Linked DNA regions of Oryctolagus cuniculus. The main gene of each other region encodes a partner of the protein of the gene in region 2 in a complex. Links are inferred from orthologs where the notes say so. Each region holds a gene or a part of one and is shown on either strand. Other genes may lie near its edges.

What was found. The genes of interacting proteins can lie anywhere in the genome.
Region 1: CDHR5 (region 2) and ANKS4B share a complex: the UniProt entries of both Homo sapiens proteins name them as parts of the IMAC/intermicrovillar adhesion complex. The link is inferred for Oryctolagus cuniculus from reciprocal best matches to the Homo sapiens genes CDHR5 and ANKS4B.

Annotation. Positions count from the first base shown.
Region 1 is NC_091450.1:17,993,906-17,997,653, reverse strand, and holds the start of ANKS4B (ankyrin repeat and SAM domain-containing protein 4B), read left to right. Parts: upstream 1-1,029; 5' UTR 1,030-2,257; coding exon 2,258-2,421; intron 2,422-3,748. UniProt on the Homo sapiens protein: As part of the intermicrovillar adhesion complex/IMAC plays a role in epithelial brush border differentiation, controlling microvilli organization and length. Plays a role in assembly of the complex.
Region 2 is NC_091432.1:251,263-255,010, forward strand, and holds the start of CDHR5 (cadherin-related family member 5), read right to left. Parts: upstream 2,329-3,748; 5' UTR 2,254-2,328; coding exon 2,148-2,253; intron 2,072-2,147; coding exon 1,896-2,071; intron 1,706-1,895; coding exon 1,655-1,705; intron 1,319-1,654; coding exon 1,226-1,318; intron 1,115-1,225; coding exon 1,013-1,114; intron 933-1,012; coding exon 822-932; intron 733-821; coding exon 562-732; intron 223-561; coding exon 132-222; intron 51-131; coding exon 1-50. Other genes in the region: SCT (secretin), read right to left, coding at 3,132-3,233, 3,347-3,425, 3,523-3,748. UniProt on the Homo sapiens protein: Intermicrovillar adhesion molecule that forms, via its extracellular domain, calcium-dependent heterophilic complexes with CDHR2 on adjacent microvilli. Thereby, controls the packing of microvilli at the apical membrane of epithelial cells.

The DNA.
Region 1 (3,748 bases), on a different chromosome or scaffold from region 2:
TTTTCAGAATGGACAAATAATTCATTTTGAAATAAAGACTTGGCAATAATTAAGTTGGACAAAAAAAAAGATATGAGGAATAAACTGTTACAGACTTCAAAAACAGATCTTCACACATCAATTTTGTAATAATATGGGAAAACATTTATGGTGGATCAAGCAGACAGAAAGATAATGCAAAATGGTTGGTTGCTTGGAGGTTAAGATGCCCATATCCCACATCAGAGTTGCTGGGTTCTGTTTCTGGCTCCGGCTCCTGACCCCAGCTTCCTGCCAGTGAAGTTCTTGGGAGGTAGCAGTGATGGCTCAGGTAGTTGGGTTCCTGGTACCTGTGTATGGGACCTGGATGGAGCTCCTGCCTCTTGGCTTGTGCCCCAGCCCAAACCCCAGCCACTGCAGGCCTTTGGGCAATGAATCAGCAGATGAGCTTTCTCTTTCACTGTCTCACAGTTAATAAATAATTTTTAAAAAGAAATAAAGTAAAAATTACACAATAAGGAATATATGTGTTCGTGTATGGTTGATCCAGTCATGGAAGGGGATGCTTTCTGATTCTATTGCACCGTCTTCAGAGAACATTGTCTTCATGAACTCTTTTATTTGATATCTGTTGGACCTGCGCTGATTCTATTTGGTGGTCAGTTTTTATAAATACTCATATTCTTTATGTGGTTGAAAAGAACATGCATTTTCTATTGGGTGGAACTGTCTATATATGATCATTCAAGTTTGTTACTTGTGCTCCAATCTTTAAATCTTTACTAATTTTTAGTCTGATATAATATTAAGAGAGTATATTAAAATATTCCACTATGATTATGAGTTTTTTACTTTTTGTAAATTCTAATTTTTTTCCTATCTGAGGGCTGCTATTAGGTATATATGACAGGAGTATCATAGTCTCCTGTTAATTTTTGTTAATATTATGGTAAAGTTGTTTAATTTTGTGTTCCTTATGGGGCGGGGCGGGGGAGAGAGAAAGTGAAAGTGAAACTTCTTTTTTTTTTTTTTTTTTTTTTGACAGGCAGAGTGGACAGTGAGAGAGAGAGAGACAGAGAGAAAGGTCTTCCTTTACCATTGGTTCACCCTCCAATGGCCGCTGCAGCTGGCGTGCTGCGGCTGGTGCACCACACTGATCCAAAACCAGGAGCCAGGTGCTTCTCCTGGTGTCCCATGCGGGTGCAGGGCCCAAGGACTTGGGCCATCCTCCACTGCACTCCTGGGCCATAGCAGAGAGCTGGACTTGAAGAGGGGCAACCGGGACAGAATCCGGCGCCCTGACTGGAACTAGTACCTGGTGTGCCCGGCGCCGCAGGCAGAGGATTAGCCTATTGAGCCATGGTGCCAGCCAAAAGTGAAACTTCTAACCAACCACTGATTCACTTCCTAAATGACCACAAGGACAAGGACCGAGCCTGGAACTCTAGCTGTGTCTTCCACATGGCTAGTGAGGGCAAAGCACTTGGGCCATCTTCCACATCTTTCATAGGTGCATTAGCAGGGAGCTGGATCAGAAGCACAGTAGCTAGGACTTGAACAGGTACTCTGATATGGGGTGCCACCATAGCCTGCCATAGCACAATGCCAGCAATACAAGGCGGGCATTTGGTGCCACAGTTATGATGCTGCCTGGTTCAAGGTCCAGCTCCTCTACTTCCCATCCAGTTTCCTGCTAATTTGCACTCTAGCAAGCAGCAGGTATTGCCTCAAGTACTTGGGCCCCTGCCTCCCATATGGGAGACCCAGATTGAGTTCTGGGTCCTGACTTTGCCCTGGCCCAGCCTTGGCTGTTGTGGGCACGTAGGGAGTAAACCAGTAAAGAGAAGATTGCTTACTGTTTGTCCCTCTCACTCTGCCTTCAAATTAAGTGGAAATAATTTTTTTAAAAAAGATTTCCCCAGTTGAACTAAACTAGTTCTGAATATTTTTGAAATTATTTTCTTCGTTTGGTGCCTACATGTGCAGTATCACATTCAATACTTGCAAATGGACATAGCAAAAATTAAATGTGCCTCAAAACACTCAAGATGAACACAGCAGGCTATAATATTCAATGTCATGGCCATTCCAGAAAGAAAGGTCCAAGTTCAGTGTCATGAGCCTTTCTGGCTCCCTTCCATGGATTGATGCTGGAATGAGCTTTGCCCTGTGATACTCATTCTTGTCACTGATTAACCAGCAGTACAGGCAGGCTATCCTGCCAACATTTACTGTGCCTGGGGAGAGACATCTGGCCAACCTTTGGTGAGGAGGGAAAATGTCCACTCGTTACCACCAAGCTGCCAGTGATAGCTACCTGGAACTTCTGAAAGAGGCTACCAAGCGAGATCTGAATCTCTCTGATGAAGATGGCATGACTCCCACTCTCCTGGCAGCCTACCATGGGAACTTGGAAGCCCTGGAAATTATCTGCAGCAGAGGGTAAGTTCAACATAATGTCTTCTGTGGGAAACAGTGCTGATAACAGGATTTTTTTTTTTTGACTGGCAGAGTTAGACAATGAGAGAGAGAGAGAGACAGAGAGAAAGGTCTTCCTTCTGTTGGTTCACCCCCGAAATGGCCGCTACAGCCGGTGTGCTACGCTGATCCAAAGCCAGGAGCCAGGTACTTCCTCCTGGTCTCCCATGAGGATGCAGGGACCAAGCACAAGCACTTGGGCCACCTCCACTGCACTCTCAGGCCACAGCAGAGAGCTGGACTGGAAGAGGAGCAACCGGGACAGAATTGGCGCCCCAACTGGGACTAGAACCTGGGGTACTGGCGCTGCAGGCGGAGGATTAGCCTAGTGAGCCCTGGCGCCAGCCTGATAGCAGGATTTTGTAGTCGGCAGCAGGAGACAAAGAAGTCAGTGCAAACACTTTGTTCTCTTTCTAGACTTTCTAAATAATTGAATTTTTAGAGAAAGGCAGAAAAATCTGCCCAGGGAGGCACTAGTTTTACAGTGAGAACTGGTGCCATGAGAGTGGCTCATTCCTTAGCACAAGTATAGGAGAGACACTAAACTCTAAGGTGTTGTTACCTGCCTTGGGTGCAGGGAAGATAAATTAATTCCATGCCTCTCAAGTCTTTTCCATGAAATTTAAATAGAGATCATGGTTCTACTTGGTTTTGAGTTGTCAACCTTGATTGGAATAAAAGGCATATTTTTATTATAAATTTTCATAAATGCCTTTAAAATCCCACAGCTTTTTGTTAATATTCAATCCCAGTGCAAGCTCATGATTGCTGAAGAGAGTTGCTGGCTCTGTCAGCCACAGCACACACACACTACCCCCACTCCGAACTTTAAAACAGCAGTTTTGCTAGCTCCTTTTCTCTGCTTTTTCTGCCTGTGACCAGAGGAGCTAGGCAGTATTAGCAACTACAACCCAAGATGAGTAAAGAAAGGGGAAAAATAAAATGTAAATGAAGAAGCCAACTAAATTCAATACCTATTCATTTTGTATCTGTTACATGCCAGTCATTTTGCTAGCCACTGGGCATGCTGTCATCAGTAAGAGAGATACAATTTCTGTGATGGTGATCACATCTGAGAGTAGAAGACATGACAGGTCTTATAGAAATGGAAATGAGAAGGCATGAAATAACTCAGGCATTCATCCTACTCAGGGTGTAGGAAAAGCTTTCCTAAGGGGCGAGCAATTCAGCTGGGATTCGAAGCGCTGAAGATGGAAGAGAAGTTTCCCCCACCACTGAGCACTGTGGATTACACTGTAGATTCCAGGATCTGAAGAAGTTGGATGTTGCT
Region 2 (3,748 bases):
GGTGAGGTGGCCCGAGTTGGCGTCGATGGCGAACACGCCGCCCTGGTTTCCTGGGAGGGTGAGCAGGTGGTCAGCCTCACATCCTGGCTGGGCCCAGGTGGGGATGGGGCTGGGGACAGGGCCTCACTCACCCCCCAGCAGGCTGTAGATGATGGGCTGGCCAATGGCCGAGTCTCCGTCCTCAGCGTAGATGGGTCCAGGGCGTAGGGTGAGGGGACCTGGCTGTGGGGACGGCCAGGGGAGGGGACACTGTGGGACGGGTGTGGTGGCCAGCCGGGGCCGCGGCGGGGCCCAGTTGGCCAATGGCCACATGTCCCTGCCAGGCCCGAGTCTCAGGGACATCTGAATGCTGGGTCAGCAGGAATGTTCACAGGGAAGTTGGACTCCTGCCTCCCGTGCACTGCCCAGCCAGGGCCCACTGCCCCCTGGTGGCTGGGGAGGGAGTTGCTCGGCAGTGCCCAACAGGGCCCAGGGCCCAGTGCCCACGGCTGGATGTCACCAAAGCTGGGAGGACCCAAGCCCGCCCTGACCCCGCCCGGGCCGGCGGCAGCACCCCGTTACCAGCGTGTGCCCCGTGGGGACTGCCCCCTGGTACTGGGCCTGGATGCAGACGTGGCCATCTGAGTAGCTGCAGGGCAGGAACCAGGGTGGCCGCAGGTCAGCGGGCAGCACCTTCAGGATCAGGGTGGCCGTGGCCGTGTGGCTGGGCAGCTCGTTCTCCTGCTGGGTGTCCTGCAGTAGCCACTGGTCAGGCGGGCAGCAGCCTCACTGGGGCCCCAGTGTCCAGTGTCCAGCACCCGGGGCTGGTGGGGCCTGCTCACCCGCACCAGCAGCCGGAAGGTCATTTCTGACCACCTGTCGAAGTCCAGGGTCCGGTCCAGCCTTAGGGCAGGGTGGTTTGCGCCCGCCAGGGAGAAGAAGTGCCCAGCACCCTGAAGAGAGGGGGACGTGACCTGAGAGGCTGGGGGGTGGGCACAGGCTGGTGTCTGCCGGGGGCCGGGGCAGCACGGACCGGGGTCACTTCCTGGAGTGTGTAGAACAAGGTGTCGCTCTCGTCGAGGTCCTTGGCTTCCAGTTCTGTCTCGGGGATGACTGTGGAGTTCACTTTCGTATCCTGGGCATGGACAGGGGTGGGCTGGGGTGGGCCACACTGGAGACCCCAGGGGCAAGCCCCTGGCCCAGCCCCCAGCCCCCAGGGCCGGCCCCGAGGCGCCACCGGGCTAACCTCCTCCACACCCTTCTGCAGGGTGTCGAAGGGGAACGTGGGGAGGTTGTCGTTGACGTCCAGCACGGTCACGAACACTCGCAGCCTCGTCACCTGCAGGGCGTGGCCGGCGTCTCCCTGAGGGTCCCCGGGGTGCCCAGCCCGCTCCCCCCTTCCCTCACTCTTGGGGCCAGGGCGCTGTGAACCCCTGTGGGGTCCCGGCCCTGGGTGTGGCCGGCATCCCAGCCGCCACCGAGGAGGGGGCTGAGGTGGGCCGGGGTAAAGGGAGCAAGCAGGCCAGTCGGAAGTTCCAGACATATTGGTGGCTGAGGCCAGGGTATGGGTGCCGGGGCGCCGGGCCGCGGGTCTCGGGTGTGGCCGGGGAAGCGTGCCCTGGGTGAGCTCATCCCTGCACTCTAGCGTGGGAGGGGCTGGGAGGGGCGGACTCACCACCGTGGTCCCTCTCCTGCACTCCAGGTCGGCCTCCAGGAAGGTCACGGCCTGCGGAGGCAGGGGGACGTGGGGAGGCGCCTGCCCAGTGCCCAGCACACGGTCCCCGCTGCACAGGCCGGCCGCCCAGGCAGGAGGATGGCTGCCGGCCACAGCCCCCAAGCCCGGGGCCGACGCCAGATCAGCCACTGCCTGGCAGAACTGTGCCCGGGAGGGGATGGGGGGGGAGGGCCGCTCCCACCTCGTAGTCTGGACTCGCGCTGAGAAACAGCTGAGTCCCCTGGATCCGGAATGAGGCGGCGGTGGTCGAGGGGCCGAGGGCCACCTGCAGGCCATCGGGGACGTAGATGTCAACCAGGGGCTTCGCCACGTCCGAGTTCTCCTTCACCTCGAAGAGGGTCTGGTTGATGGAGCAGACTGCAGCGGACAGCACGGGTCAGCACCCAGCCCCGCCCCCACCCCGCCCCCGCCCCCGCCCCTGCCCGGCACCTGCCCTGTGTCTGCGCCTCAGCCCCCCAGGGCTGGCCCGGCAGCCCCAGGAGCAGCAGCAGCAGGGGAGGCCACCGCAGGGGCCAGGTCCCCGTCCTGGTGGCTGTCATCCGGCCGGCTGGCGTCTGGCGTCTGTCCGTCCCCCTGCCGTCCTGGACTGCTGCAGTTCCTGCCTCGCACGACCTTTGCCCCTGGCAGGCACCGCCCTGCTTTATGGCTTCACGGCTGGCCTCTGCCAGGGGGGATCCCGCCGGCCGGCTGGGCACGGGCTGGCCGCAGCCAGGAGGGGGACGCCAGGTGGTCACTTGCCCCCCCACTCCACCCCAGGGTCACCTGGGGCTCAACCCACAGACGCCAAAGCACGAGGTGTGAGCTGCTGGGGCTACGGCCTGGGGCACCGTGATGGGGGCTGCAAGGCCCACGGCAAGGCGGGGGTCCAGGGTTCCCTTCCAGGCCCACCTCCCCTCCCTCGCCGTCTAAATCCCACAGGAACCGACTGTGTCCCAGGCACCCCTGCAGGGCTCTGAGGGTCCTGATCTCTTCCTGGGACCCCCACACCTCCAGCGGCCAGGGAGAGGCCAGGAAGGAGGGAGGAGCTCAGGGACGGGGTCCATCCCTGGCCTGCGGTGGGACCCCGCCCAGCATGGACGCCATGGCCAGCCCGGCAGTCACGGGGTGCTGCTCCCGGAATCCTGGGCCACCACCCCGTCTCCCCCCACCCCTCTTCTCCCCCACATCCCTACTGCAAGGCCCGGGGAGGGGCACACCCTGGGGAGTTCAGAGGATGGACAGCAGGTGGCCCAGTGGCTCCCAGGGATAAAGGGCAGCTGGGCGTGGTCCGAGCTCTGGGGCCCTGCTCCCACACGGCAGCCACGGATCAGGGGTCCCAGTTCCTCCTTTATTAGTGCGAGGACAACCCCCCCCCGCCTGCCCCCTGCAGGACCCCCTCCTTCTCCGTGGTCAACATCAGGGCATCCAAGGCGCTGCTTCAGTCTCGGTGCTGGCCAGCTCCAAAACCAAGACCCCAGCCCCGGGCCCAGGAGGCAGCAGGGTTGACCAGGCGGGGCCCAGGGGTGGCCCGAGGAGCCTCCTGCGGAGACAGGCACCTTGGGGGCTGCGGCCTGGGAGCTGGAGACTCCCCGTAACCCCACCCCCACACACAGGGTCCCAGGGGACAGGAGCTGGCAGGAGCAGGGCGCTCACCAGGCCTGCAGGTGGGCAGTGGGACCACTTCGGGCAGGGCCTGGACCAGGAGGCTGGGCCGGGCTTGGAGTCCTGCTGGCTGCACAGACACACACAACCAGTCAGAGCGCAGGTGGCCGGCCGTCCCAGGCCGGGTCTCCCCCGCGCCGGTCGCGCCCTCACCTGCCCACGCTCACCTGCGCTTGCCCAGGAGGCCCTGCAGCAGGCGCTGTAGGCGCGCGCGGTCCCGCAAGCGGCTGAGCTCGCTAGTCAGGGTCCCGTCCGAGTGGCGCGGGGCCCGGGGCGGGGGACGGCGCGCGCGGCCGGGGGTAGGGGCGCCGCGCAGCCTGGGGAGCTGGCCCAGCGCGGGCGCGGGCGCGGGCGCGGGCGCGGGCGCGGGCGCGGCGGGGCCCGCGAGCGGCA